Lepisosteus oculatus: one gene and its partners. The protein of the gene in region 1 interacts with the protein of each later gene in a pairwise test. Links are inferred from orthologs where the notes say so. Each region holds a gene or a part of one and is shown on either strand. Other genes may lie near its edges. The genes, in order: stub1, hspb1 and olfm3a.

What was found.
Region 2: the proteins of stub1 (region 1) and hspb1 interact in binary tests that used the Homo sapiens proteins (3 or more experiments, as listed by UniProt). The link is inferred for Lepisosteus oculatus from reciprocal best matches to the Homo sapiens genes STUB1 and HSPB1.
Region 3: the proteins of stub1 (region 1) and olfm3a interact in binary tests that used the Homo sapiens proteins (3 or more experiments, as listed by UniProt). The two-hybrid records come from large-scale screens. The link is inferred for Lepisosteus oculatus from reciprocal best matches to the Homo sapiens genes STUB1 and OLFM3.

The regions. Positions count from the first base shown.
Region 1 is NC_090714.1:6,185,463-6,196,685, reverse strand, and holds the start of stub1 (E3 ubiquitin-protein ligase CHIP), read right to left. Parts: upstream 5,349-11,223; 5' UTR 5,242-5,348; intron 1,859-5,241; 5' UTR 1,727-1,858; coding exon 1,613-1,726; intron 990-1,612; coding exon 791-989; intron 525-790; coding exon 359-524; intron 1-358. UniProt on the Homo sapiens protein: E3 ubiquitin-protein ligase which targets misfolded chaperone substrates towards proteasomal degradation.
Region 2 is NC_090721.1:3,379,934-3,390,325, reverse strand, and holds hspb1 (heat shock protein beta-1), read right to left. Parts: upstream 4,815-10,392; 5' UTR 4,700-4,814; coding exon 4,306-4,699; intron 2,611-4,305; coding exon 2,547-2,610; intron 2,325-2,546; coding exon 2,159-2,324; 3' UTR 852-2,158; downstream 1-851. UniProt on the Homo sapiens protein: Small heat shock protein which functions as a molecular chaperone probably maintaining denatured proteins in a folding-competent state. Plays a role in stress resistance and actin organization.
Region 3 is NC_090704.1:10,112,043-10,123,054, forward strand, and holds the start of olfm3a (noelin-3a), read right to left. Parts: upstream 5,239-11,012; 5' UTR 4,983-5,238; coding exon 4,914-4,982; intron 1-4,913.

The DNA of each region.
Region 1 (11,223 bases):
GGACAAAGGCATTTTAGTCATTAAAGCATGTTGGCTAAATCCTACTGAGAGCCTCTATAATCTGCGTGCCCTAGAGCTCCCCCTAAATTCAGTTTGTGACACAGATTCTCACTCCTCCACCTGATCTACTGCGCAGTGGGGCTACTGGTACAGAACGGCTACCAGCATATCACCTGGGGTGGAACTGCACTTCAGTCGTGGATGGAGTTAGGTTACGCCCTTGCATACAGTTCTTTGTGGATGAAACGTTGTATATAGAAACACCTGGAACTGTCTGAACTAGGAATCGGCAATCGGGAGAGAATTAAGAAGCTGCAGCAGCTTTCATGGTTGCAAAGTGCAAACTGCGCCCGTGTACCTTTCTTTCTCGGCGAGGATGAGCTTGGTGAGATAGGCGTGGAGCTCGTTCTCCTGGTTGATGCGTTTCTCCTCGATGCTGTTCCAGCGCTTCTTCTTGGCTATCCTGAGAGCGCTGGGGATGTCGTCCCCAAAGTTCAGCCGCTGTTCCTTCGCCAGGTTGTAGGCTGCAACACAGAGGCGCAGCTTTCACTCCGGTTTTTGCGGAGATCAGCTTTTATTTAGGGCAACCGAGTGCAAGGAACGTGCTCACAAAACACAAGTCTGCCTCTGCGTAGCAACAGGGTTTACTTTGGTATCTTACAAAACGGGGAAAAAAAGAGCTGAACTCTTCCTAGAACGCAGTCGGACAACACGTTCAATAGCAGCCAGAACTTCTAATTCAATTTTTAAATGGGCACTCCAAGTGAAGGGAGCTGGGGGAGGGTCTGACCTCTCTGCAGGTTGCCAATGGCTTCGTCGTAGTTCTCCATCTCCAGGTGGCACTGGCCCAGGAAGAAGTGGGCCTTCACAGACTGGCTGTCCAGCTCCAGGGCGTGCTTGCAGTCCGCCAGGGCCTTGTCATGCTGCTGGAGTTTCACATAGCAAAGGGCCCGGTTGGTGTAGTACACAGCCACCGAGGGGTTCCGGTTCTGGGAGCGGAAATGAGAAAACCGAGGTTAAAAGAGGGAGGCAGCACCTTTCCAACTTAAGCTAGCAAAGACACGAGGAAAACAAAACAAAGAGCACAGCATTACCAAAGGGCACTTTCACCATGCAAAGGCTCCCTGGGTACTGCAAAATTGTTTAAAACTAGAATCACCTAGTCTCATAAGGCATTTAATTTCATATCCAAATAAGCCTTAATAATTAGAAAAGACCACTTTATTGGCCATATACAATTTCTTGCATTAGGAATTTGTCTTTGCGCAGACCCCAGCTTGCTCTCCATGAGACACACAGTCAGGGAGAGAGAAGCTGGGGGTCAGAGAGCAGGGTCGGCCATTTATACGGCGCCCCTGGAGCAGCTGGGGTTAAGGGCCTTGCTCAGGGGCCCAACGGAGTAGGATTCCTCTGCCGGCCGCGGGATTTGAACCGGCAACCCTCCAGCCACGGGCACAGATCCGTTGCCACAGTGCCACAGCTCCGCCCACAGGGACTGGCATACAAACATTCCCTTTCTGTCTCAATGGAATCTGCTCACAAGGGATAAAGAACTCTGACTGGCGGGAAGCTACGGGTACACTCGAGCGATCACAGGGCCACGGCTACTCACGATGGCTTTGCTGTAGCAGGCGGCAGCTTCCTGGTACTTGCGGCTGAGGAAGAGCCGGTTGCCCTGCTCCTTCAGCTCCTGGGCGGAGGCACTTTTCTCGGGGCTGCCCGCCATCTTCTCCGCGCACCCCGCCGCGCCCGCTCCACTCTGCTTCCCAATCCTGCTCCCCGTGTCTCCGGCTGGGCACCCCCCCTCGGGCTGCGTCAGGCTGGACACACCCCCCCCCCCCCCGCCCCCGCCCGATCCCTGCAAGGCAGAACAGAGCAGAGCATCCTGGGATTGCGCGGAAACAACACGTCCGTCACACATCTCTGTTTCCCCGACAGGACGCGGCAAAGACACTTCCCGAAAGCCTGAAAGGGGGAACCGCAGTCCCAATTTCTCAGACCTGAAATTTTACGGCTTCCAAATTAAGCACAAAAACGTGCCCTTTGTGAAAGCACCGGAAATCGCCATGTTGTCACAAACTCTCATCCGAGTTTCCACGAATTGTGACGTGAAGCGGCCCTTCCTGCTCACTAGTCACTATAATGACTAATGTAATGGGATGTATGAGCAATTAAATGCAGGTTGTGCAGCAGAAATTTCATCGCAGGAATGTTCCAACGTGCATGCAGATTTAACAAGCGAGTGGCATTTGTTGGGGAAAAAATAACAGAGAAATATTTTTATTGGACTAGAAGGAGATGTATTCACAAGCCTGCTTCTCTACAATATAAGAGGGCCGCAACACGTCACTGAAGTTTTGTTGCCTTGTTCCGAAACGCACAATATAGCGCATACCTGGAAATGTCCTCTATTTTGTGTGATGTAAATTGGAGGTTTTACAAGTTACTGTGGAGATTTTACTTTTTATTGCGGTTTCAAACGCACTCATCAATGGTTATTCTAGCCCCGAAATATAAAGATAGTGTTGCAGTTCCCCTATAAATATCCTGTTAAAAACACAAAAAGTGTGGCATCACCTATGCCCAAAAAGCTTTTCTAGCAAACGCAACAAAACTTTTCTATGTCGTGCCATTCCTGCCTGAGCACCCCAGGGTGCTTCACAAAATATCAGCAAAAGCAAAGCAAATAAAAGTCCAGGTACTGTAACTGTGAACACACTGCAAAGTAAAATATTCTCCTTCTGCATCAAAACGAAAAAAACTCAAAGATATGTGCTTCATCAATGGTAGTGCAATCCCTAGCTTTCTCCTTCAGTGCTCCTCAAGAGCACTTAAATAGATGAAGATAAAGAAATAAGGACACCATTGTCAATGCTTGGGGAAGTCATTACTTGAGACAAGGGTTGCATTGACCCCAATTATCACCAATTTTGAGCTACCTTTTGCAAATTCTTAGAATATCACTAATTAGGGTCTTCAAAACGGAAAAAAAAAAGTTTTAAGCCGCACACCTGTCAGTAGCTTAATTACAGCCAGTAAACCTGTGAAGGATGCTTCAATTGTGGCACTTAAAGGTTCTGCAGTCCTGCTAGAGAAAATGGTATTTCTAAAATGAATTTATGTTAATCTGATATACATGGAATATAGTTGTTTTGCTCCTACTTTATTGACTGAAAATAAATTACATTTTGCAAAGCTTTTAACTTCTTTTGTGATTATTCACATTTCAAAAGTTTGTTTAAATTGCACATCTCTAGAGATCAGCTGCTTTAATTGCTAATTTGCCAGAATGGAACTGTTTATCCTTCTAAACAGAACTCTATTGCTCAGTTCTGCTATGGCAGATTCAATGAAGACTCTAGAAGAGGAATTAACTATATATCTACCATCGACATGATTAAAAACAGCACAATGCATTGCTGTCATGTGAAAAAAAAACATACAACAGTTCAGGACAAACTAAAGCAATGCAACTGAAGATAAAAGCACACACTGAATTGTAATCCATAATACAGTATTAGTTCATTTCAATCAGGAAAGCCACATGAGATATAACCTAAGATGGGTCAGCATTTCAAATAATGGAAATTCTTTCATCGAGCTGCACAGCCAATGAAAGGAACACCAGCCTCTCGGGTCTCTCTTGGATACCAGCGATAATGATGTTTGCTCAATCTTGGTAATGCAATCAAAGGGGGTTACAATTCAATTATGTCCAAACCTGCAGCCAGATACTCTTACCTACATCTGGGTTTAATTAAAATATATGAAACCTTTCCCTGCATGGCTTTTACACTGTACCTCAGGGACCTGTACTTTTTACTCTCGTCTATATGAAACGTTTCGACATACTTACAAGGCTACAGCGGTAGGTTTCATAGGATGTACTAACAACGTTTCCTTCTTCAGGAAGGAAACCAGGAATAAGAGCAGAGGCTCTTAAGTATTTGATCTCATATATACAGTACATGTCAGCAGATCCTTCAAACATCAAAACTTTATCAAAGCGAAGTGAATAGGGCCGGAGGCCCTAGTCTATAATCTTGGCCTGGTCTGGTTAACAGATCGCTGGCGAACAAAAATTATGACAAGAATTAGCCTATTTTTAGAACCTCCATACTATTGGCACAGTCCATTGGGAAGCACATCCACACACAAGCCCAACGAGATGCCAGTTAAACCAGCAAGCATGATAATTATGGGGGACACGCAGACTCCACACAGAAGGCACCACTTCACCATGAGGAAAGTAGAAATTTCAGAACACTTCTAGTCGTTTTGCCTCCTAATTTAATGGCATAAAAGAGCCATACATCTATAGAGGGAAGTCACTAAAACAATCGTGTTATATTAGTTACCATCACTGGGCTTCCGGAGAAGATCCCAGGACTGACAGATAACCACATGGGTGGTTATCATAACTAAAACAAACGTTTTTTCCACGTGGGGTCGACTAAAATATACATCTGGAACTAAACAGGACTCTACATTAATTACTTCGATCATCCCTATGACAATCGATGCGGCTGAGAATTTAGGATCATGGGTTCTTTGGCGAGTTGTAGGCTTCATGTAATCAGCCTCAGGAGACCAGTTATCAATGAGATCTGCCCTGCATTCCCATAAAAACGCGTGTACCGAGAGAAAAAACGCTAAATTTCACACACTCGCTGTGGTCTGCTGACTAATCAGTCACCGACGGGTCCGGGGCGATATTCATTTTAAGCAGAAACACTTATTAACTGGGCTGCAAAACACGTCACGTCTGCTGACCATCTCGGCCATGCTTATACGTGAAGTGCCTCATCAACTAACCCCAAGATTTCTAGAATAAGGATCTGCAACATGTATTTCAGAGAGTTAAAAATAATAATTCACTCTGGGGGGTGTCTGAAATAAGGTGTAAGGTCTCGTTACTTATCATCAGTACACGTAGACGAAAATTAACGGCAATATCCCCAACAGAGGTTTTTCCTTCTATAAAGATGGAAAAGAGATGGCACCGGGACTGTGCAACGGGTCCGTCGGTATCAACACCATGACATTTTCGGTACCAAATTGCTGTTTACAACAGGTAGCTACCATATGTCTGCAAGCGTGCTTTCGCCCACTGTTGGCCACTAATACGTATATTTCATCGCTTGGTTTGATCTATTGCTTCTCCTCTAAAGCTGATGAATCGCTATCCCAAAGGGAAAGACCGGCACCCCATCCCTCCCTCCCCCGCCTTCCTGAACCTACCGGATAGCTGAAGCGCAGCCTTCCCCGCTGCCGCAGAGGTGTCCCTCGGCTGCTGTCAACAGGCAAGGTCGGGGTTCCGCGCAGCCAGTTGGCCTTGACGTCCGCTTCACCTCACGTTTTGCGGGGGGTTTTTCTTCCCAGAGAAATATGTAGACTCACACTGTGGAGAAGAAATGGGCGATCATGGGTCAGGGGTGCTATACTCGCATTGCGTTTCTCAGAAAATAACGGCATTTGGGGCTTTCACCCCACTCCCGGACTACGAGTCTCATCCGTCTCTTGTTTTGATGGCTGAGCCGCTGTCGGAAGTTCCTGCCCGAAGAGAGTTCGGGTCAAACTCGGAAGTAAAACAACGGAAGACGACCATAGAGTGCAAAGCGATTTACCGCTGTCGTTTAACCCTTTATTTTTGCGAGAAAATGGATGAAATAGAGCATAGCGGGTGTGCTTTGCCGGCTGATTGCATTCGTTAGTCTTAACGAGCGGATTTCAAACGTAAATCACCGCTCTAGGTTGATTTAAAATACAAAAACATAGACCGGGAGAACGTTTGCAAACCGAGGAAGGGATTAGTCTATAGCCAGTTTGGCAGTCACTAGTCAATTGATCCGAGGATGTCATCCAGCCATTTCTTAATTTGTAATTATAATTTATGTCTAGGCTGACAATTCAAATATGTGTTCCAATTCAATTCAATAATAAAAAAAAAGCTGACAGTAATTCTAGACATTTTGGAAGTGTGGACGGTCAACACAAGCAACAGATGTGCTGTGCTTATGGTGGACCTGTTGACTTTAAATATATACTCAATAGCGTCATGATTTAGTATAATTATAGCAGCATAGTAACTTAAAACTATAGACCAGTCAGAGTTTGTTACAATTAACGGTTTGTAATGGAACGGGGCTTGTTGAAAACATAACAACATAAGAAAGACTCATCTGGTTTGTAACCAACTCAATTGCTACTGTAGCTAGTAGTCAATTAGTTATCACTTAGTAACTAATTGATGTGAGGATCTTATCCAGCTGTTTCCTGGCAACCAGGGTATCAACATGGATAACACAGCTTATTCCATTTCCCCCACAAATCTTTATGTAAAATGCCTCCTGTTGAAAGTTTTTACTGTCTATTCTGAAGAGACATTTCTCTTAAGCCTGCAAAACATTTTGTAACTTGATGATCAAAACTGCATGTACAGTATTCTTAACAATGTTATCTTTTAATATAACATCCCTTGATTTATATTCTAAAGATTTAGTTAATTCTCTAACTTCTAAGTGGCTGCTTGTGCCACCCAATAATACTATTACACCCAGCATTATTTTAGAACCGAAAAGCTCAAACCTTGAACAAAGCTCTGAGCAAGTAAAAACCATTTAGCCAGCAGCCATATCACCCTGCAACTCACAACTGGCAACCCACTGAAGCTAAGCAGGTGTGAGCCTGGTCAGTACCTGGATGGGAGACCTCCTGGGAAAAACTAAGGTTGCTGCTGGAAGAGGTGTTAGTGGGGGTGCTCACCCTGCGGTCCATGTGGGTCCTAATGCCTCAGTATAGTGACGGGGACACTATACTGTAAACAGGTGCTGTCCTTCGGATGAGATGTAAAACTGAGGTCCTGACTCTCTGTGCTCATTAAAAATCCAAGGGCGTTTCCTGAAAAGAGTAGGGGTGTAACCCTGGCATCCTGGCCAAATTTCCCATTGGCCCTTACCAATCATAGCCTCCTAATAATCCCCCTCTATGAATTGGCTACATTACTCTGCTCTCCTCCCCACTGAGAGCTGGTGTGTGGTGAGTGTTCTGGCGCACTATGGCTGCTGTTGCATCATCCAGGTGGGGCTGCACACTGGTGGTGGTGGAGGGGAGTCCCCATTACCTGTAAAGCGCTTTGAGTGGAGTGTCCAGAAAGTGTAAGCAATTATTATTATTATTATTAACATCAAGCAAATACTGATCAAATACTTCCCTAAGGAAGAAAGTTCAGTCCTGTCCAATATCAACATAATTGTTAGGCTTCAGGAGACCCATTGACGTGGAAACTGAAACTGCTAGTCTTTGCACATTCACTCACACACGTGCATTTTCTGGGAACAAGGTGATGACAAAATTATGATACCCTGTATATACATCAGATTCAGACTTTTATTTTACAGGTATCAATGTGTACAGAAGTTTAGTATGTGATTGAATCCAAGACAGAAATAGCAATAGGCAACATGAATCTTCAAATTAACCTCTTTGCTTGTTAAATATGAGCAAATGCTAGCTAGGGTGCCAGGCTTCAGTTGTGTTCTGTAATATTCCAGCACTCAGACTGTGCTCCAGGGGGCAGTCTTGTCCTACTTCAATACACATCCACACGCCTTTCATGCAGTGTTCTGTATCCCAATGACCTTGCATTGTTTATCTCCGAGGGACTGACGTGTCTTTCTCCCTGTGGTGCTGTCTCTTGTGTAGTTTGTGGTATTCAGCAGATCATGTCACTGTCGCGCTGCGCTCGGTCTGAAGTGATGAGCTTCCTTTTTCATAATAAGCGTGAACGGACTGAAGAAAACAAAATGCATTTAAGTTAAAATCTCAAATTCCATGTATAAACTGCATGATATGAATTCACCTTGCGAAATGTTGAACATTGATTTATTGCTCAAGTTGCTACATTATGAATACGAAGGAGTGAAATTGTTTTTGAATAATTACTATTATTTATGTGCTCTTAAAAGTGGATTGTAAAAGCTGCAACACCAGTTGATGGGGAGTTTTTCCACATTCGGTCACTAAGGTGTGGAACAAAAGCAACAAAAACAGACCAGCAAAAATAAACACATTCAGGTTTATTGAAGTTGAATGCATACAGCAAACTATCACCATCAGTTTACAAAGGGCTTTGCATGTGTTTTCCATTAAACTACACTGGTAAAACTTATTATCCAATTCTGGGAGGAGTACTACTGCCAAACCTTCGAAAAAGCACTTCATTCAGATGGATCCAGTCATTTCTTTTGGTAAATTTTGTAAATGAGGATTTGTTCTCAGGTAATAGGTTAAATAAAGGAATTTAAAAAGACTCCCTTTCACCTGGATAAAGCTATTGATAGCAGTGAACCATTTTACCCATGACTATTTGCTACTGGCACAAGAAGACAAGAAGCAGATAGCATGAAATATATGGGATCACCATCTTTCTACTAATATTATGGTGCAAAAAAATTAAAGGAAATTAAATTTTTTACGTTTTACAACATAAAACAACAAGTAACGCAGCCACTGCAGTTACAGAAAAAACTGAGTTAAAAGCACACCACTAGATTTATTTAAAATTACCCCGACACCTAGAATATACACAGAGTCACACTGTTCTAAGCAGGATCACAGTTAATTATAATCTTTAGACAATAATTACTGATAAAAAAATGAACCTTAGAGACAGGTTTTTAGAGAACAATCAGCAAACCTACCACCTGAAAAATACAGTAACAGCTAGGTCCAGTCCCTCACAGCTGACTCCCATTTACACTTGAGACCCCTGAAAACAGAGACTGAGAATCATCACTGTTGCACCAGTGAGGGTGGCTGGAAAAAAGACAGTATGTCCCTTGTCCCAGTTTGTGATCCACTCTTCCGGGTGACAGCTGAACACCTGCATGCTGATGACCAGTAGGAGACTGGGGTGGAAGGAGCCTGAAAGCGAACATCTACTGTACATTAGCAAACAAGGACTGCGTGAGGGCCATGGCTGAATCTAATGGGGGGCGGGGATGATCCATAAAGCAGGCCACTTTGACCAGACTAAGGCCACTTCAGCTTGACCTCCACGCCATAGGCGATGAAGAGGAGGCAGGACACCACGGTGCAGCTAATCATTTCCCTGTGGCACATCGTCTCGAACTCCGTCTTGATTAAACCGTTCAGCATGCAGAGGTGGCAAGCAGGGAAGACGATGCAGGCGGAGAGGACGATGACCATCGCCAACCGGGGGACAGCCTTGATGAACTTCTCACAGCGGTTGGACTTCTTGGAGTGGCCCATGAACTCCAGGAGAACCGTCAGCCCGGTCATGGAGAAGCAGAAGCACCAGACGATAATGCACCATACTTTGGCTGGGGTGTTTCTGGACGGGTCTCTGTTAGCAATGGCATTGCCCAAGGGGATGACCTTTTGAAGCGCGGTCAGGGGGTCCCCAATAGGCGACACACTGTCAATGGTCCTAGTGATTTCAATTTTCATGAGCTGGGACAAGACCACTGCAATGCCAGCAAGGGCGATCTCGCAGAAATGGACGATATTCAGCTTAGACGACTTGAAATCCTCACCCATCTTTGCTGCTGATGGCGTCTCCTTGTTTGTGTCCCTTTGCTTCTGCATGGTAGAATGAGAGCTTTGTTTTACCTTTCTGTTTTTCGTCTATTTAAGTGAGATTCCTAACTCCTCCCTTTTCCTAAGAAATGATCTCCCCTTGTGAAGTACCCAAAGCTCCGACAACAGCAAACATTTGAGCGATGTGCAGCTGTTTTTCAACAGGCAACCTTTTAAACAGAGACCAGCTTCAGTTTTAAAATCAGCTTTTTCTCATTCTGAAATACTTTGCAGGTGGTAAGGAAGATCGCAGGTCAATGTCCAGCCTATTAATGTCAAAGGCCACAATAAATGGGCTACAGCAAAACACAAACTACAGTAAACTAACAATGTCCACAGCTTTCATAACACCAAGACACCCATTATTTTTTACTTTTTATAACTTCAAGCTGACCCTAACATTCTATGGTTAGGTGGGTAAAGGATCTGAGGTACAAACTCAATCGTTACCCATTTACAGTACCTGGAGATGCCTAAGAGGAAGGTTAGAAACAAAGGATTTTAACCTGGATTTGAAGGTTTTGCAATGAACATTTCTTGGCAGTATTTACTTCGTTGGACACAGCTAAGACTCGGCTTTTTTGCTCGACTTGCTCTTAGTGATTCCAAGATAAAATGAATCGCCCTTTTAAATAGCTCACTTGCTCTTCAAATTGCTTTACCAGTCTATTAAAAAAACATTCAAACTTCGCTGGACTCTGTAAGACACCTAATATCACTGTCACAAGGCATTCTGGGACATCAGTGAGGCACATTTTTCACCGTGTGGTGATTTTTGATTTTGTGTTGAATGTATGCTATCTGCTTCTTCACGTCTTGAGATCTAAAAGCAAAGGCAAGGAAACATTTTTTTATTGTTTTAAAATTTAGATCCAGTGACCTTTGCGTCAATGAGCTGACCATTTCTTGGTAGCTGTGTTCTTTTGACACACTCAGTTCTTTCTGAGAGGCACATTCTGTGGGCACAGTAACAGCACAACCTTAACTATACTTCCATTTCTATTTCCAGACAAAGAGTGCAACAATTATCAGAAACAATAAAAGAAGCTGTGCATTTTCAAGTAAGAATAGTACAAAACACTTGTTTGCTGTCACCGCGGTTTAGAATAAATGCAAAAACAAAAAGACACACAATCAAATAACAGCTCAAGGATGAGGAAGGGCTGTCAGAAATCCTTAAACTGAAAGTGATTTCACGAATTCCTTTGGCATTCCCTTTCATGCAAATTCAAACATGTCTCAAGTTTCTTTGTTCCAAACTAATCTCTCTCACGCGAACCTATTTTCCCCCCACACCTACACTTTCCCATGAAGAAAACACCTCAAATGACTAATCAACCGGGGACCGATTGAGGCAGCACACATTTTAAATCCGGCCTAGTAATGAGTTTTCTACGAAAATATTTGGAATGTAGTCCCCTTTTTGAAATTATTTAGATTTCACTCCATGACCAGGAAAGTGTGGACCACATTTATGGGCAATGATTGCATCCTGAAAAGCTGAGTGCAATGCTTGATGTTTTATAATATGAGTGGAGAGGTACTATAGCCAACAGGTACTGTGCTGTGCAATCAGAATGGATCCCAGGGTGTGACTTCTCTGTGGAAGACAGACAAAATCTA
Region 2 (10,392 bases), on another chromosome or scaffold:
ACAATGCTAAGAACATTTTTATTAATAAAAACAGTGGTGTGAGGGTTCAGTGTATGTAATGGGTGAATGGAGGCTTAAGAGTCGTTTTTCGAGGATCTTGAATTCTACACAAAAAGCATGATTCACGGGCACTGGAGAATGATGACTCAGTGACTGAACAAGGAGCTTTGTCATCTACAGTATAGAGGATAAGAAGGTTTCTGCCTTCCTGTTTATACAGTATGGTTCTTGGATACTCTGGGGTTCAGACAGAACAGGATTAGAGAGAGAGCATATGCTTTTTCTTAATAATAGGAGCATCTCTCAAATATAGATTAACTGCTAATGAAGACATAAGGATCTGCATTTCTGAAAGTATTTAGGCAGTTGAATAACAAAACTTGGGGTCTTTAATGTTCTTTTTAAATGCCCACTACCCACAAAAAGATGGCAGGCTGAAGTGTCTTTTCGTCCAAATAGATTTTATTTTGACGAGTGTCTGCCGTGGCTGTTATAAAATATACAAAGTGAGCCAGTGAGAAAAAAATAAAAGCCACTTCCATGCATGACAGCAAAGGGAGCTGAATAATTCATCTTTTGAATCTTACTTTTTGTTTCTTTACTTACTTTTTGTTACCATGTCCGTTCTTTAAAAGAAACAACAAACACTTTCTTGATCAGCATAGACTTGTGGTTATTCAAATGCATTTTTTCTACCATTCCAATACTATGGACAAAATATCGCATTACCATTGCTATTGACAAGAATTGCAGGTAACTTCACATCAGCAGAAATGCATGCTTTCATATCGAAAAGAAAACTGTTCTGCATTCTGTTTCTGTTTGTGAGACATCAGAACAAGAAAAGAAAATTGGTTCATTTCCGTTTATTGTGGCTTCTTGAAAGAACAGTTTCAGCTGTGCAAGAGCATAACACTGATACCCCTTTGAATGACTAGGTTCATAAGTTTAAAAGCTTATACAGTATGTCTTTACTGCTGCATATGGCAAAATCAAAACCGTCCAAAAGAAAGTAATGAGGAAAATTATGGAGCAGGAGACGTGTTTGTCTGAAGTTTAATCTTAAACCAAAAACGTAAGTCTGAGCCATGACATTAGACACATACAAGAACTAATCAGCTGGTATTTCATTCAGCTGCCAGTGACAATGTACTGTAACACCTTGGTGAAGAAAGCAGTGTCAAAGCTAATAAATCCTGTGCAAGACCACCCTTCCAGCCCTGTAATATCTGATTAAATTAAGAACAACATTTCTCCATTCTCAATCTACTGTATGTTAAAAAATCAGATTCTAATGCTATCCTCTTAAAGAAACACACACAACTATTTTGACTTAAAAAAGACAAAGCATTTATTTTTCAAAATTATGGAAATACCTTCACACCCACTGAAATATAGGCCGATCTCTACCATGTGCAAACTATAGCATTAAACAGATTCCATCAAATCAAAATATCATAACAAGAACAATGGTGAGTAGCAATTACCAAAAATAATAACAGAAGGCTATACCAAATTGGTAATTTATTCTTTAGTCTCACAATAGGAATAAAAGCCTACTTTTCTGTACTTCTTAGAAATAAATCTCTTTTTTTCCCACAAAAGGCTTGTAATGTATTGTATGCATAGTTCAGCTCATCCAAAGTCATACAGTATGTCCTGTATTTTTTATTCCAATGACAAGGCTATCTATGCTCCTAGTGTTCACGCAGGGACGTTGTGCCTGAGTGAAGAAACCAAGCTGCAGTTTCACAGAAGATGGCACACCCGCAGCCAGCAGAGCTGCAGTATCATAATGGAGAAAAAACAATACCCACACACCAGCCAAGTCTAATCGCATTCAGAGCGCAGCAAGCAAATCTTAAGAGCAGGAGGCAGAAGTGAAAGGGGAGTATTTGGATTGTATTTTAAATCTAACTCTAAAAGAAGGATGAAATGACTGCAAAAATGCAGGTTTGCAATAGCACGTAATGTAATAATACAAAGTCAGTGTGCTGGGGGGATGTTTCATTCACCGAGAAATTGAGCCAATTTCAAAAGAATGAAAAAAACAACAAGCAAAAGATAGTTTCTGTTATAATATTTGGGAAACTGCTGCGTGGTCAAGCGTTCAATATTAACTGCACTGCGCCTTTGCAGGTCGGTAGAGCAATGCTGGTTATTTCTTGGTTTCGACTGCAGGCTTGGCCTTGCTCTCCAGGGAGACTGGGATGGTAATTTCCGCAGCCTGGATTGCCGGTTTGGGAAGAGGAGCCTCTACGGTCAGCACTCCTTCTGGAGAGAGGGAGGAGACCACCTTGTTGACGTCCACGCCAGGAGGGAGCCTGGGGAGGGGAACGAGAAAGCGTTGCCGATTTCAGCAAGCAAAGGGAACACATGCCTGAGGGCCCGGACAGGTGATGTTGTCATAAACTGAATTCATGAACTGGACTTTGCTAGGAGGGCATCAGCTAGTCCTACTACAAGTGTTCCACACAACAAAGACAGGCTACCAGTTTTATACAATATATATTACACATGCTTCATACTGTTTTTCTAATACTCACGTGTATTTTCTGGTGAAGCATCTTGAAATGTAGCCATGCTCATCCTGTCTCTCTTCATGTTTACCTACAGGTACAAATGCATAGGTCAGGCATGGAATGTTTTCAGTTCTGAGGTTACACCAGCTTCCTTTAGCAACTGGCAATTCTCCCTTGACAGCATTTTAATAGATCCCTGTGTGTCTTCCTGCTTTAATATAGAACATTCCTATTGAAACTGAGATCCTGATAACACAGTTGTTTGCTTTGGCAACTGACTATTACTGCAAACAAGCACTGCTTGTATCACAGTGAAGCATATTCCATAGATTGCATTCATTTTATATGTGCTCATGGTTACAGTTGATTTCTTAAATTTAGCCATTACTTTTCAATGCATTTGAGAGACATCACGTGAAAACAGGTATATAAATGTTGCACTTTAGGAAATCATTACAAATGGTCTTTTTACTTCATGCAAAGTTGCAATGGAAATTATCAAGTGATAAAAACAAATTTAGACAGTAATCTAAAACAGTAAAAACTGACTTATTACAGTAACATAACATAACTTTATTAGCCCTATACAATTTCTTGAATTAGGAATTCATCTTTTCACATACCCCAGCTTGCTCTCCATGAGACAAACAGATAGGGAGAGAGCTTGGGGTCAGAGTGCAGGGTCAGTCATTGTACAGCACCCCTGGAGCAGTTGGGGTTAACAGCCTTGCTCAGGGGCCCAACAGAGTAGGATTCCTTTGCCAGCTGCAGGATTTGAACCGGCAACCTTCCAGCCACAGGCGCAGAGCTCCGCCCTATATACTTTTATAAAAGCAATCCAATGCTGCAAATAGTGACACACGAAGTGAAGCTTCTTAAAAACTTTGCAAGTCTGATTAGGAAATGAAACAGCCCTGGCTGGGCTAGCAGCTGACTCTGAAAGCAACAAGCAAGTGTGAGTCATCAGTGACTCAGCTGCAATCCCCATGGCACCGATGAAGGAGGGACGCAGTTATTGGCAAATTTGCTGGCTTTTCAGATGAAACTATTTTTTTAACACTGCCATTAAACCAGATGTAGACGGGAACAGATGCAGATCAGCTTGCTTTCGAACACAGCTATGACCATGGTAAAACTCAATTCATCAAGCATTCAAGTTCGGCCAGTCTCGGGGGCAGTGTGTGCTAGCTGTGTCACTTCAACAGAGAACCAGTGCTGTCACCCCAGCTGCCCCCTGCTCTGAGGAGAATCCAGGGAACACGTTGACTTCTGTTCATTTTCCACAACAAAGGCCAGTTCAGAAACATTTGTTTTTTTAAAACTAGAAAGACTTTCTCACTGAGATAAACTAGACAGCATGAGATATACCATATTCCCAACATTCAATGCTGTCATAACTTTTAAAAGAATGTGTTTTATGAAGCTGTCGACTTTCTTATTTTTACTAATTTGCTCCAAACAAACAGGCAACACATAAACAGAAACAAACATAAATCAGAAACAAACAATGACTACATATTAATCTTTATAAGACAGATGACATGATCAAGGCTGCACTCACGGTGAAAGGAAGGAATAAAATACGTCTGGAAGTTTTTTTTTTAACCCTTTAAAATTAAAAAGGTCATTTTGTTCTGTTTGCGAAGATTTAAAACCCATGAAAGCTGGTGCACCATACAGACCCTCACCTCACGCCCGCTCGGGCCCGTACCGTGGCCACGCCCCTCGCAGCGCTAGCGCCCCCAGAAGGAGGGGGGAAGACAGAGCTGCCTGCGGGACTCACCTGTGATTTCCACCACGCCGTCCTTGGTTTTTACCACCAGTTCCTCGGGGGAGAAGTGGTTGACATCCAGGCTGACTTTCCACTGGTCCTGGGTCTGCTTGATCTCGGACATGCCGCTGCTCAGCTGGCGGGAGAGCGCGCGGGCGTAGGGCGACATCGCCGGCCCCGGGGGCAGCGGGCTCACAGCGCTGGGGGCCCCTGCTTCGGCTGCCGGGCCCACAACTGAGGGCCGAATGTAGCCGGGCCAGTGAGTGCTCGGCCAGTGGTACCAGTCCTCGGTGAGGGCTGGCATGCCGAAGGACTGGTCGAAGATCCGGTTGCCGTGGAACCAGTCTCGGAAGGGATCCCAGCTTGGGCCGCGAAGGAAAGTGAAGGGAATGTGGCGCTCGGACATGTCGGCGAGGAACGTTTTAGGAACGGGGACAGACCACCCTCAGAAGGTTTTGCAGTTCTCTGCTCTCCTCTGCGCTGTTTGGAAGAGCGAGTGCTCTAAGTAATAGTTGGCCGTGGGCTTTATAAACTTCTCCTTCACTGCCCGCCTCTCACCCCCCCATCATATTTATAGAAGAGCCTAGAAAGTCTATTCATGGAAGACAGACCACTGGAAAGGAATTTAGTGTTCCAAGACCGCCCCCCCCCGCCGCTGGATAACACACTGTGTTTAACCCCCGGCTCCAGCCAATTGTAATCCCCTGCCTGGTATTACAGCCTGAAAGAGGAATCTGGTGTGAACCTTGCCAACACTCCTCTGTTGGAGCACGGCAGAAGCGCTGATAAGGAACAGCACTCCAGCAACTGCTGGAGCAGAGCTGTTCCGAGCTGCTTTGAAATGTATCATGAGGAGGGACTGCCATCACCGAAACCCGAACTGGTCACAGAGACGGGATTTCGAATGTGGTACATTCCTGAGAACTTCAGAAGCTACCCTGGTTCTTCAGAACCAAGCACAAAAATTGAGGCTCTTTGTGGCTTCAACCCAAATCACTTCAAAGTCATCTAGCAGTTTGTCTCAACATGCTACAAATGGGGCACCTGAATGCTAGAAGGGGCATCATTAGTGTAGGAAACCACTAAACACCAGTGCTAGGGAGACCCAATTAGTTCCTGACAAATGTCATTCTAATGACGTTTTTACAAACCTTCTGAAGAAAAAAATAAAGAAGCTGAAAAACTGACAGCAATTTTTCCTTTTTAAGCTGGGGTTTTCAGAAAGAAGATGTCTTTTTTTTGGGGGGGTGGGGGTGGCAGTAGGTCACACAGGTGAAGTTGCTTGTGAAGGCCTTGCGACAAGCACAAGCTCACTAAAATAAATCTAATACCTAATGTCATTTTCCCAGGACAGGCCTGGTTCCAAATGTCTCCATGCTTCGGCTCCCCAGGCTGTGACAAAATGTGTCTGAGGAGTTAACAGACTAGAAGTGACAGCTGAGAGGCTAGCTCAGGCCTCACTGGGTTGAGGATCTTGAAAAGCTGAACGACAGAAGTAATAACTCAGGCTTTCTTGTCCTATTCGCACTGTATATTAATAAGCTAAATATCACTGAGCTATTCATCTGAAACAATATTTTTTCAGGATTCTTTCACCCAGGGGGTCTTGACAGCAGTAGTCAACAGCATGAAGAAAGATGAGTTTTACATTAATTTTGAGCAGCTGATACTAATAGGTATAAAATATGTCAGGCTGTTTTTCTCTATAATAAGATTTAATATTCATTCGTAGCAAAGGAGAATAACACAGTTGTCATCTCCCCTTACTTTCTTCCCCAATATGTTTTGAGATGTCTGATGGTCATAATCAAACACTTCGGATCTGTATTACTGAATATCTAAACAGCAACATTCAGCAATGAATTAAAACATCTTCATTTTAAATATCAAAACTCATGTGAACTAAATATAGTCTCATTATTCTGACAAACCCCTAAAACAGTTATTCTACTATAGTGTATTGTATAACGATATTATCCTTCAATTTTATTTTACAGACACATACTGTATAAATCAATATACAGTATAACATTTCCTTTTCAGTGGGACATACTGTAGAAGGTTCGAGATCAATTCAAAAATCATCACCAACGTTTTAATTTTAACCTTACGACGATACTGAGTTTGAATTCTGCTGTCCAATGATTTTCTTCTAATCGTTTTTATGTAAAATTACAATGGCTCAATTTCTGATGAAACATTTAAAGGGAATTATTCTATAACTAAAGTGACGGCCGGCTCAATAAAAAATGAAATTCAGCACAATCTTCTGCGCACCACAAATCACAACGACAGGGATCTGTATATTCGTACAAACCCCCTTTTATTAATATTAGTTGAGTGATATCATATAGTCATACTTTCAACATTTAGCGAAAATCAAATGTGTTATCATACAATTTATCAGTACCTCCATTTTTTAACATTATTTCTCTCATTAATTGAACTGAGGGGCATAACTGAGAAAGCAACGAGAATATTCTCGAGATTAGGCTAAAATTAACGGAGGTGTCATCATGTTTTATTCTTGTAAGATACATTTACACTCGAGGTTCAGCCAGAAACCTCCAGCCTCGAATTCAACCGGAGTTACCAGAATATTCCATCACTCGTGTCTGAAACCAAAGGGATTTCATCACCCAAGCGAGGAAAAGTGGAGGAAAAACAGGCTCGCGAGTGCCCTCTATGGGATGAATTCGTTTACAGAGAAACTCACATAATTTATTTGTGTGTGTGCAGTATGAGCAGTATGTGCCAAGTGTAAAACCGTAGTCTTATCACAGACTATCGTTAATCTGCCAGAGGACTGAGAACTGCTAATTAGCACGCATAATAATAAATAGCCCTTTAATTTGTTGTTAGTGTTGTTGCTTTGAACAGACAAACACGGGGGAATATACTGTACCGGTGTGCGCTGATTGCATATGAAAATTGTCGTTTAGTTTTTGCTCAAGACTCATATAACAACCCTCAATGCCATTCCATTTTTCTGAAGGAGATGTGCTGCTGTGTAGCATTATCTGTCCTACAATACCTGCCCCCAGACCTCAAAGTGTAATACATTTAATTTCGTTCTTTCCCATTAACCGATTGACGTTATATAATGTTAAAAAAAAAAAACAACTGTGTTCTTCAACGAGGAAACTCGGATCCCCCGTGTCCCAAATTTAAAATATTGTTCTTTTTTTGCGGAATGAAGCTCGGCTTGAACACAGGGTTGACGCAGTAACGAGTTAAAGCGACTTCACTGCATGTCGATGCAATGCTGTAGTGATTGTAGGGTGGAAAAGTGCGCATGCCGGCGAGGGTGACGGGCCAGCGGGCGGACCCTCGTACAACTGTCGAGCAAATAGTTTCTTTTGGAAGCACTGACCAAGTAGGAGGGGGAAGATAATTCAGCGTGCGAGGAGCTGCGATTACAGTCCAGTGTTGATCAGAATGACTAACCCTTAGTAATTACCTGTATTCTTTTCAAAAAGGTAAATCCAGTATTTCCATGTATTTTCTTGTCTGTGTATAAATTCAGTGGACTATCTTATTATTCACACCTGAAGAAAGCTCCACGGCCGAAACCTTGTGTTTTTTCTTCTCTTTTCAGCAGGGAATAAACCTATTACTTGTTCCTTTGCAGCCTACGCATGCTGACGCAGCTGCCCACCTGAACTATCTTATTATTTGACTGCTTAATTGTAATACTTCTAACCTGGTTCAGAGGGATGTTATACTCTAGGTGACTGTAATTTTAATGAAGTGAATGGTTTCTGTAAAAGAAACCTTGAGAAAAATCCTGTATATGTTCTATTTTACTAATTTCAGTTAAATTGTTTAATAACTACTCGCACTAGATTAAAAGGGCCCTCCAAGGACGGAGTATGAAATCGCTGAGATGCAGGGTCATAAACTAAAATGTTCTCTGCCAGGACCTCCATCACACGTTACTGGTGAGTTTAATTAACACAGGCGATTGTGGAAGTTGGCGGCACTGTGGTGCAGTGGTGTGCCCTGCTGCCTCGTGCCACGGGCTTCTTCTTTCTGCTCCAGTTTCCTCCCACAGTCCAAAGACATGCTGGTGGGTTAAGTGGCTGGTGGGAAAACTAGCCCTGGTGTGAGCGTGTGTGTCAGTGTCTGCCCTGAGATGGACTGGTGTCCTGTCCAGGGTGTATCCTGCCATGCTTGCTAGGATAGGCTTCAGCTCTCTCGTGACCCTGTATTGGATAAATCAGTTAGACACTGGATGGATGGAAGGAATAGTGAAAGTCACTCTTACCTTCCCACAGGCTGTGTGGCTTCTCAGGCTTTTTTGTCGAAGAAAAATCTACCCGATTAGCATTCCAAAACTACAAGTGGAAACCCACAAAGAGAAAATGCAGGTAAAAAAAGGCCCAGGGATAGTTTTTCTTTTTAAACCTGTTGTGAGAATTTTAGCACAGTTTTACTTTGAGGTAAAACGATGGAGATGTTCTCACTGGTATACAAAGCCCTGAAAACAAACACACAACAAAACAACAGCCAAGTTCCCATTGTTATGTTGTTTATTGTACCGTGTATTAACTAGTACACTACAGCTACTGACTTTTATACAATCCAAAGGTGAACGTAGTTGTTCTTTTTTTTTCCACATAATTTGCTTGTTGTTTTTTAACTCGGGTTACATTTTAAATGTAACATTCAGAGGGGGACAGAGACTGAAACAGACGAGGAAGACTGAAGGTTCCCTGATACACCACCAGCATTCAAATCAGTACAAAACTGAAAACACATTGGAAACGCATTGTCTGTACATGGACAGCTCTCCCTCATTGCTTTGTACAAAATGACAATGAAAAGGAGATACTGAAAAGGGCTAATGTCCTGAAGCCATGGACATTTTGGGATATGCAAAACCATTGCCGCATTAACAGCTAGTATTCCTGGATATAAACCAGGGACACATATTTGAAAATTCTACTGCATTTCTTCTCAGGTTTAACTGGCTGCTTTATTTACACTCTGAAATGGAGGCCTGAAACTACGGTGCGATATACCTTACACTGGACTGAGGGACTTGACAAGCAAAGGTTTGGGAGATAAGACAAATATCCCCCTTAACTCATGCGACTGATGGAACACTCTGCCACTATGGGTTAGTAATCCTTCCTCCACGGTTTGGTTTTGCCTTCACTATTTTCTGCCATCCCCATATCTCAGGGGTTCCAGGTCCTTGAGGCCCATGCACCTGCTGGCTTTCAGTCCAGCTGAGCTTAATTATGTAACTGAACTATCAAGTTGCTTGATTGGAATACATGCACTTTTTGTTTTTGCTCAGACGTTTGGGATTCTGTGTTACTTATAGTGCTACTGTCCTAACACGTTTAAGAGCTGAAAACAATCAAACAGTTCAAATTAGTGCTGGGTTCAATCCCGGGCCCGGGGAGCTATCTGTGTGGAGTTTGTATGTTCTCTTGTTCACATGCATTTTCACTGGGAGCTCTGGTTTCCTCCCAAAGTCCAAAGGCATGCTGGTAGGTTGACTTCTGGGAAACCTGGCCCGGGTGTGAGTGTGTGCATGTTTGTGTCTGCCTGCTCTGTGATAGACTGGCATCCTGTCCAGGGTGTATCCTGCCTTGTGCCCTGCTGGGATAGGCTCTGTCTCCCCTGCGACCCTCAATTGGATGAAGTGCTTAGCAAATTGAAAAAAAATTGAATTAAATCAATTGAGGGTTTAACTGTGTACAGTAAGGAAGAGATTGGTTTGAGTTTACGGGCTCCCAGGACAGGAATAAGAACCCCTGCCATCACTGCTGCTACAGCAGGTCCCTATCTCTCTCTTGCTCCACATGGGGGGGGTTGGTTAATACCTGATGCTCATTGGCCAAGCTGTCGTGCGTCATTCCGGTGGATTAATGCCAAAGAACACAGGAATCCCTTTGCTTAACTAAGCAAAGGCACTTAGTTGTGGGTGTTGTCTGTCTCTAGAAATACTAAAAAAAAAAACTATTTTAATTGTATGAAACCAAAGCTAAGAAGCTGTGTTTTTAAGGTACCCAGTAAAGGGCTTAATTTAGGACCTTTATTTTACACATTTTATTAAGGAATACTGAATTTATGAATTTTCCATGG
Region 3 (11,012 bases), on another chromosome or scaffold:
AAAAAGGTTTGAAAATTATACTTCCGAATTTGAAAATTTGAAAACTTTAACAATATTTAGATTGACGTACCTCTCTTTTCCCAACAGAGATCAATCTTTGCTAGGATAAAGACAGCAAACTGATCAGCACATCCTAGACGCAAAGTAGCACAAGGGAAGGAGATGCAAACATATTGAAAAGATAATCGTTTCTGGGCTTCTTTGGTCACTTTTAGTTTAAAAAAGCTTATTTACACACAAAATGTGCATAATTTTTGTGATAAATAACATTAAATAAAACATTTGGGACACGGAATAAATGCCATAATTGTTGAGTTGTACAACACAATGTACAACAAATTTGCAACAAATTGCAGGTTGTGTAATGAGAGATATATACTGTATAACACAAAAAATACATTTCATAAGACAACTACATATTGTGACTTATAATTGCCCAGTACAATGTTACTCTCTCTCTATGTTATCCTATTTTCAGGAATCAAAGTTTGGATACATTTGTAATTAATTTTTCTCCATTCCCCTCTATCTATCAGGATGCCTTCCAATACATTACAGTAATCTTTAATGAGACTCAATCAGTACTTTAGGTTGGTCACTGAAATCCAATAATTCTGCTCACGAAGGATAAATGTATTTGATGATAGCAAGGACAGAGTGAATTAAAAAGAAATGTACTGAAAGTGTGGATGACTCTTACTCTTTTTGCCATGCTTTGTAAGACAAATACACAAGGAGGTGTCTGTCAGTTTTATGTCAGGTCTGTTGTAGAATAACAGCTTATGGTGAAGAAAATTGGATGTAATAGATTAGAGTAATACAATCTGTTTCATCATTATGCTAAAAGCCCCCATACTGTGTTCTAGGCTGCATTTGAAGAAAAGCTGTAACTCAGGTCTACAGCACGCACAGAAGAGCACACAGACCTTTAAGGTTGAAAATAAATGAATTTAAAAATCTAATCAATGTATCTACACATATGTACACGTCACAAAAACAATGCCCAACCTCAGTGCTAATACATTTCTGTTTTTCATATACTTTATTTTGAGATAAGAACATATGTAAGCAGCAGCTGTTTTTAGGTCCACAAAATGCAGTGCTACTGCAATATAAATACCATCCAATATAATTATTTGTCTATGAATAAGACAGCAATGACACTAAGGGTTAGTAAAACTATCTGGTTGGAGTCATTCTAATAACCACATGCTTAAAAGACTGTGGAATACAATAAGGACATTGAAAAATATATTGTATCTAAAATAATGTTGCTCCTGCTGAATGTAAAGTATTATGATAAATAGTTCTTGTTGATTTTATTGTTTATAAAGAAGTTGTAAACTGGACATTTATTCCATATTACTTTATATTTTAGCACAAAAATAAGTGCAGGAAAGCATTGTTGTACTTTGGATTCTACCTTTTTCTCAGAAGACTAAGGCCTAGATTCTACCGAAGATCAACACAACTGCCAATTGCAAAATCCATCCCCAGCACTGGTGGAACACTAAGTCTTTCATTGTACAAATATATTATTCTATAAACACAATATTGTCCATGGGAAATATATAACCAACAGCATGAAACAGGCTCAGGATTTCTAATTCCATATGAGTCAAAATTTGATTTAATCATTGGTTTAAAAGAAACATGGTAATGATTATGGGGATTAAACTGAAAGACCATAATTATGTTGGTCTTTAAGGATCAATAACATTTCATTTTCCATAGATTTTCTTTGCTTTGTACACTTGATCAAAAGTATTTTTCTACCTGTAGACCTAAAATGCTGTATATTAAAAAGTTTTAGAAAAACTGTGATAAAAAATTTGAAAAATCACAAGAAGCTACAGTAAGTATTCATAGATCATTACAAAGCATGTTCAGGATTAAGGATTTAAATTAATTCACAATGTCTAATTGGTCTTGGTGAGTCATGAATGTACTTCTGTCTTGTGAAGGTTTTACCCCATTATGAAATTCAAAATCGTCAGCCGAGATGCATTTTAATGGGGTTATTTGTACTGGGCAAAGCAAATGTGTTTCAGGGTGAGGGAAATCTTTTTTCACTCTTATTTTATGCCCAATAAGTGCCAGGAATGGCACTAATGATATAAGCTAAAATATACTGGTGCTTATTTTCTGAGAGGTCACATTGATGTAAAGGTGAATTTATTACTAAGGAGACCATTTTAATGATTATTTTTTGTTGCATTCAGAAGCATTGCATCAACTTAGATCATACTGCATAGAGCTGACAGCTCATATTATAATCTTGAAAGACCTGCCTGGGTTGAACATTAATCTATTTAAACACACTGAATCAATCAACAGACAAATTCAGATGCAAAAAGTGTTAACTCTTCTAAAATAGATAAGAAATTGCCTTCATATACTGTAGATAACTATGTTACATCCCTTTACAGGTGTGTGGTTTAAGTACCTCATATTTTTAAAATTACTGCAATAATGACAATTTATAAAAGTTGCAGTTGTGTAGAAATAAAATATAAGGATATTAACATAAACAATGATATTCAAAATGTGAAGACTGAGAAATGTTTGATGAAATTACCCCCATGCTGATAGTTGATGAAGGGTTCGTGAGTTGTTTTCAGCACCAAGACCAGTAACCACCTAATTATTTTACAAGACTGTAAAGTAAATAACATTTTATGTTTTTGTTGTTAAACTCTGGAATTAACCAATTATCATTCTTTAACTTTATCAGAACAGAGGATTGAGAACAGTACATGCTTTCCTCCACAATGAGTTCTTGTCAGATTTGACTGCCATTTTCTATACTACATGTCTTATGGTGCCTTATGGGAGTTAGCATTGGAGGAATAATGTGACATTCAATATCAATACTGCAAGCTTACAGGCATCCAGCGAGAAAAACAGCCTGCTCTTGCACAAGCAGTCAAGGATATGGGTGCCAGTCAAGGATATGGGTGCACCGGTAGCTGATGAATCCCAGTCACTGACTAAGCTTAAGAGAAGGTTTAGGTTCGTATCAAAGCTATCTAAATTATAAAGCTCAACTTGTGCTCTACTTTAACATTTTAACAGGTTGATTTTCTCAGAAGACGCATTTTGTTTTACTTGTAGATGCAAAATAACCAACTGAATCTAAATCTTAATCTACTTTGGCTGCATATCAGTAATATGTATAAAGTAGGTTATTATAAAGTTAGGACACTCGCATATATACATTTCTATTTTGTTCATTAATTCTTCAGTCACAGAAACAAAGTGTGGGAGGAAATTAGCAACAATAATTTCAAGAATCATCAACATGATATACTCCATGGCTCTCTGACAAAAGAATTGACAGTTTATTTCACACCACCAGATTTGAAACAACAATATTTTGGCTGGATCAATTGTCAGTAGCCCTCTTGGAAGACAATAACAAAACTGGGATTGAGCTCTTACATTTTGAAGTCGATGAAAACATGTGCATGCAATGGAGAGTTTGAAAACATTTTTATTATAATATTTAATTACTGGACATACAGTATATACAGCAATGTAAAGCTTTTGCTATACCATACAGAAAAAATTCAACTTCTGCAAAATTGATAAAAAGCCTTCCTTTGACTAAATAAATATTGTTGTCACAATAACACATCTCAATGTCAGGGAAAAAAAGGCCTTTGAAAAAAGCCCAGAGCATTCTCTTAAACCACTGTTGTTGATATTATTGGACTTAGTATAAGTGTACATTAAGAAGAACATTCAAAGTATACAAACTATTTGTGCAGGAGGGGATGGAGTGATTGTAAGTGGTAATTTAGTTAGATATTGATTACATTTTAAAACCTCAGGTAACAAAGTCATTAATAATAAATAGACTAATAAGTCAGCAATACGTGTCTAATGGCTTAAAATGTGTTCATGTAAGCACATTTTCTAAATTAGTATTTCTTTCCCTTCTTTTATTTCATGCAACACAAGAGATAAATACCTTTGTGATTGTGCATTGTGTACACTGTTCTGCATTTCGATACTATGGGAAACTAAACTGAACCACTGCATCACGTATCTCAAGTCTCCATTTCTATACAACATGTGTTAAAGCAATGTATTGTCCTTGTATTGTATTTCGTCAGGTTAACCGGGATTATTTTTTTGTCTTTTCTGTTTTCGACGACAGTGTATTATAACAAGCAAACAATTTTTAGTCAGCACTTGTGTATTAATTTGAATTTAGTGATGTGACGCAAATTTTATTTTTACATTGCAACTATATTGCCGCTAAAATGGCACAAAACCCTCATTAATAAAGTTCTAGAGTTAGCTGTTCTTATCCATGAACCTAATACTAACACCATATTAGAGGGGATATTCGGATTAAATAGTAATTTAGACTTCGTATATGTTTCAGTTAATCTCGACGAGATCATCCACAATGTGGTAGAGGCGTAACAGGCGCTTAATACTTTATCACTGCTTGAATTTCAAACCGCTAGCTTAGTCATTGCTCAACGATGTGTATAAACGCTATATTTCAATTATCTGGCAGAATTTCAACGTTATTTTCCTAGTGTGAAAGCTTTGCGCCTTCAAACGTTTATATATAAAGTGCATGCGTGCATGTTGCATGCCGCGGTAGCATTCGCTCTTTTACCTTGAGCATTGAAAGCTTTCTTGAAGCATCCTCCAGTTGTTATGTTACTGATATAATTAATACGGATGTTTTGCCAGTGGCCAGCAAAGACAACCAGCTTAGCGAACTGGAACGGTACAATTCTCCTAGAACTGCAGTGCTGGTTACAGTAAGCAATATATTTTACCAAGAGGATTTTTCTCCAATCTTTCTCCTCACTAAACTTACCTGTGAAGTGTTTTACATACGCACATACAATAATCTTCATTTCATAAAGAAGAACAACCAACCAACTCACCACAGACGGATATAATCCGAACAGCATCAGCAAAAGCAGAGGATTCAGAATCCCGAACAGTGCCTGCATTCTGTTTGGAAGCAGTTGCACTTTACTCGCTCATTCACTCACAGCCTTCACTGCAGGACCTTGTCAGGTTTACTACTGGAATATGCCTGGCGATTAAAGCGCCCCAGTGGAACAAGACGGATAGATCCTCATTCATTACACCGCTCTGAGGGCTTTCGCCGTGCAAGCAATACAGAATACTCCGGTCCACACTGTCAACAGGAAAGTTTTGACCTGAAGAGAGATTTCGGGGGCTGCAAAGGAGGTGTTGAAACCTGCACAACGGAAATGACATCACTTTCTTTTCCCTTTGGGATTATGGAAAGTTTTTTGTGTGCATGGGGGTCATTGTTTATGAGAAAGTAATTCTTACCAGAGGAAGTGTTCAATAATGCTAGAAGACACTTAGAATTTTTCATTTTCCGTTCGAACCAGTTGAATTTTATTCCACATCAATTCTTAAAATATTGCTTTACATTAACAGTTAAACGCATACAGTAAGCCCAGATAGTTCTGGATTCTGCTCGAATACACCTGAGCATCAGGGCAGACTTGAAGAGTCATCTCTCAGGTACATACTGTATACTCTCTGCATCCCACATAAAGCATGAAATCAGAATTTGTATAGTGTATATGTTTAAGTTAACGTGTATTACAGTATCACACCAAGGTTATAATGGTCACGCGTTAAATGTCCTTGCTACATATTCTGATATACTGTACCAAAAACGCTGTAATGATATCTTGATAAACGATCCCGGTTTATGAAATTCCGAATTCCTGTGCTTTTCCTCACCTCCACTATGCTTTTTATACCTGAGACCTGGGTTAAGCATAATTCACTCTTGGTTTTTTGTTATGCAAGTAAAGGGATACATTGTAAACGCTGCGGTTTCAAGATTTTTTAATGTTATTTAATCGCACAAAGTTTCATAATAACAATTGTACATGGTTTCATTATATTTTTAACTGGTTGCTGATTAACAAAATCCTTTAAGTTGTTTGCTTTTTTCCCCCTGCTTAGCCTGAGAATTTTCATGTCAGTTAAATACATTTCAAATATCCGCCTTCTCTTGATCTTTTGTTGCTATAGTTGTAAACATCCAAGAAAGAATGATCTTTTTTGTCACTTCCAGAAGGGTCTATATATCACAAGTGTCATTAAAGGTTGATTACTGTTGGCAACAGTATTTATAGTTTGTAGAATAGTATAGAAAAAACCCTTGATGTGAACAGCTTTGCATTTTGTAAGACAGCCTAGGTATCTAATGTACATCTATGTAAATTATAAATAAAATAATTGTTATTGTAACATCGACACCTGTTCTTGGTGCAAGGTCAGTAGGAAGATGTCTACTGGATCATCATCTATCATGTACCCAACATACGCAGAGGTGCTTAACATTACATCTGGAAGATTTGGACTTTTGTCCTTGACCAATTCTATTATTAGCAGTACTAGTTTCAAGTACACTTGACAGAATGTTGATTATGCTCCAGCTAACCATGGAGTTGGGCTGCAGTCTGTTGCATAGGGTGGCCTTCACTAGCTTAGGCTTTGATTTCTCCATGCTTGTCATATGATATTTCCTCCCCAGGAGTCATTGCATTCACCACACTTTCATCAGACCACAAAGGCATACAGTACTTTATGTTAAGGTATGATGCTTTCTGATTGTAATCACAGAGCATACAGCACCAAAATATGAAGTCCCTTTACACAGTGCATTGCATTTTTGTACAATATGTGGTATTTGTACATTATTTGTATTTTATGCCAATATTTTCTTTGTTTTTTAGTTTTGTCCAATTCTATCATGAAAAGTTTGAAAATGAAAAAACAGAACAGATTAATATAACATTTTTGGGATTTTCATGGCACTCAATAAATACAGTATGTTATACATACTGTATAAACTGAAGTAAATCTGTATTTTAGTGCTTAACATTACATCTGTTATGTATTCCTAACATAAAAAAGTTATGGCTCAGTTTTATTAAGTGCATACATGCCTATAGCTGAACAATACCTATAAATATGTTTTTACATAATTGTTTCCATAATTAGATTTCCAAGTATTTATTATAAGAGGACAGTTCCTGAGGGCTCTGCACAGTTGGAGTCCAGGTTGTAAATGAAGTGTATGTTAAAGGCAACTCTAATACGTGATCCATATAATTATACTTGAAATTGGTGAAAAATAATTTCTGTTTTCCACAGCAGTAGCCCTTTCGTCATTCAACCATTAAAAAATCCCATTTTCTCCTTTCCATTTCTTTCCAAAATACTCTGGATTTAAAGCCATCCTCTAACCCATTATTGCTGCCCAGAACGTAGATCCTGTCTTAGCCAACCACAGAAAACTCCATTGATCTCCATATGACTGTGGAAATTAGGGGATGGTTCAACACTTCTGTGGTGTCCCTCACTGCTTCCTAGCCTCAACATAGAGCTCTGTATGCACAATATGATAAAGGCAGCGGCTATCTCACTCTGCAACTCACAACTGGCAGCCTGCTGAAGCTACGCAGGTACTGTATCAGCCTGCCCAATACATGTATCGGAGACATCCTATGATAGCTAAGGTTGCTTCTGGAAGATGTGTTAGTAGGTCCAGTAGGGAGCACTCACCAAGTGACCTGTGTTGGTCCTAATGATGGGAACACTATACTGTAAAAAGACGCCATCCTTCTGATGAGACGTAAAACCTGACTCACAGTTGTCATCAATAATCCCAGGGTGTTTCTTGAAAAGAGAAGGGGAATTATCCCGGCATTCTGGCCACATTTCCCCCTGACCTTTACCAATCACAGCCTCGTAATAATCCCCAAAAGGAATATATAAGTGTATGGAATTATTATTATTATTATTATTATTATTATTATTATTATTATTATTATTATTATTATTATTATTATTATTATTATCATGTCAAGATTGGAAAGGGCTCATTGGCACAAAGAGAATGTGGAAGCTGCCAGAGCTGAGCAGTCCTCCATAAGGGCAAATTTCTCTTATCTTCTTGTGATTAAATATAAATCGCCTAAACATTAATATCCACTTTTGCTGAAATGCCTGACCTCTGATTGGTGTTGGTTCTGGAGCTGGCTTCTTCACCCTTATTAAGCTCGCTTTCTGTTACTATCAAGAAGTCAAATTAAGTTAGGTATGATCGTTGGCAGCAGCCACCCAGCACAGACACTTCTTCAGATTAAACATCCATTTGTCTAATAATTCATTAGTAAATCACTGAATATACAAATCAATTTAATTGTAATTAACTAACAGCCAGATAAGTGACTAAGTAGTACAGAACAAGACATAATACTTATGTTGCGTTTTATATTTGCAATCCCATGGCAATCTTTCACACACTTATAAAAGTAAAAAAGCATTCACTCCTTCTTTCATAATTATGTGATCCATGCTTGGATATGGATATGCTTGAGCACACAGAGCACCCACAGACCTGACATCTATGATAGGAGAGGAAGGGAGTAAGGAACAAATTGATTAGGCTGTTGCATTCATCCATTTAAACCTATCTCAGTTTTTCAAAGTATAATATTTGAATTAGTAAATTCTATCATGTGTAATGATGGGTAGATTTAAAAAAAGAGATATTTTGAAATTCGTATATATTGTATTTACAGGCAGAATCGTTTTTGTCATTGAAGGATTTAAATGCAGTAATTAATACAGTAAAAAGTAGCAAAATATTTTTTTATAGCAGTCTGCATCTCAAGTAGTAAGGGTTCCAACTGATACCAATATACAAAAAATGTAGTGGGTATGCCATCAAACCTAAAAGACATGCCTTTGTTCATAGTCTGCAGTTTCCTTTTTAGCTCAGTTGGATGCTTAAGGCCTTTGAGTAATTGTTTGCATATGTCATTATTATGTGGGGTGTCAGAACTATATAATATAAAACAAAAGGAAGTGTATTCAGAATTGAGCTGAACTGGATTGGAATTTGATACCTTCTGAGGTATTAACAGAAGAAATATTTGACAAATTTTCATTGTTATAAAGTTTAAGATATACCGTATAAAATGGCTTGGTAGACTGCCATGAAAGCAATTTAGCTTCTGATTCTCTTAAATATTTAGATTCCAGTTCTTTAGTTTTACATAAATGGCATTGCAGCACAGAGACAAAAGGTGTAGAAACAGTCCTGATGAAACCCTTTTTTGTGTGAATTATAATGCAAGAATCATTCACTGAGTCGTGATTAAAAGACAGCAGCTTCTGTATATCACTCTGCAACCCACTGAAGCTCAGTGATGTAAGCCTGGTCAGTACCTGGATGGAAGACCTCATGGGAAAAACTATGGTCACTGCTGGAAGAGGTGTTTATGGGGCCAGTAGGGGGTGCTCACCCTGTGGTCTGTGTGGGTCCTAATGCCCCAGTATTGTGACAGGGACACTATACTGTAAAAAGGTGCCATTCTTCGGATGAGAGGTAAAACTGAGGTCCTGACTCTCTGTGGTCATTAAAAATCCCAGGGCATTTCTCAAAAAGACTAGGAGTGGTACCCCGGCGTCCTGGCCAAATTTCCCATTTACCTTTACCAATCCTAATAATTCCCATCTATGAACTGGCTTCAGCACTTTGTTCTCCTTCCCACTGATAGCTGGTATGTGGTGAGCGTTGTGGCGCACTATGGCTGGTGTTGCATCATCCAGGTGATGGAGACTGTACTTTATGTCTCTTATTATAATGCATAACTTCAAAGTTAAAAACAACCCCTGATGACCATAAGAGTTCTTAAATACACATACGGTGGATTTTTGGTCCCAGAAAAGATGGGAATACTTTACCTTGTTACAACATTTTATCAACAAACAATATGTATTTGGTTAAAAAACACATGCATATCTTCCTGTATATTTTATTATTCTTAAACTATATCATATTTGTAAAGACATAAAAATATAAATAAATAAAATCAAGCTAACTTTAAGTAGCTCAGAGTCTCTCCTAAGAACAATAAAAAATATGTAACTTCCTACAGTATAATCTGTTTTATTAATAAAATGTAACTACCCAAAAGAAAAACAATTTATAAATAAATGAATACCCTACCTAAGTTCCATGCAAGGCCAAGATTAATCCCTTAATTAATATAATTTGACATTTAAATCATAAAGAAAGAACATATAGCTTTTTGAGGTATTCTTAGATTTATTTTATGGATCGTATTGTTGCTGTGAAAACACAATGCTTAACTGGTTAAACTTACTTAATCTAAAATATAAATCTAAATATTGGAGTGTTCTTCTTTTTTGATAAGGATAAATCTTTGCATTGTAGATAGAAAACCTAATTGTGAAATGTTCTTTTAATAAAAAATAGTAAAACTGATAAATGAGGTAAACTTTAAAGCCTTCTATAAGTATCATCAGTATTCACAGAATACCACTTAATAAACATCTTGAATGAAGACCTAAGACAGATTTTTACATTTGAAAACTCCAGCTGCTTGTTATTTGGTTTTAATAAGAACAGCCTGTGTTTTCTTTGTTACAACATGGTGCAAATAGCTTTTTTTCATCTGTTAGGCTTGTTTAAAGATGAATCACAGCTCTAGCCCTGTGCTATAATTATGCAAAGGAAAATAATTCATGTACAAATGAATGTGCTGCCTAAGAGTTCTTCACAGTCAATTCCATGGCATAACCCCTGGACTAATGTCAATTTATTGACTGAGTGAAAATGTCAAAGTTTAAATTCTTTAAATAAATTATAAAATATATATGTAAAACGCACACAGTAGTATACACGAGGACCTGTACTTACCAACAATCTGGTGAGTAGATCATCGACTGAATGATAAAGATGGTGTGCTGAGAATCTTGGTTTTCCATTTCTTCGTAGTACACTGATAAAAGTTGTCACCGGTCTATACCACACAGGTATCTCGTTTATTCTGTTATTCAAAATGACATTTTTAGCACATACTGAAAGAGCCTGTGGTTCAGATGAAATATCCAGTATATACATTCAAACATGGAGTGAGGCAGTTTTTTAAAACTTTTCAACAGTCCAC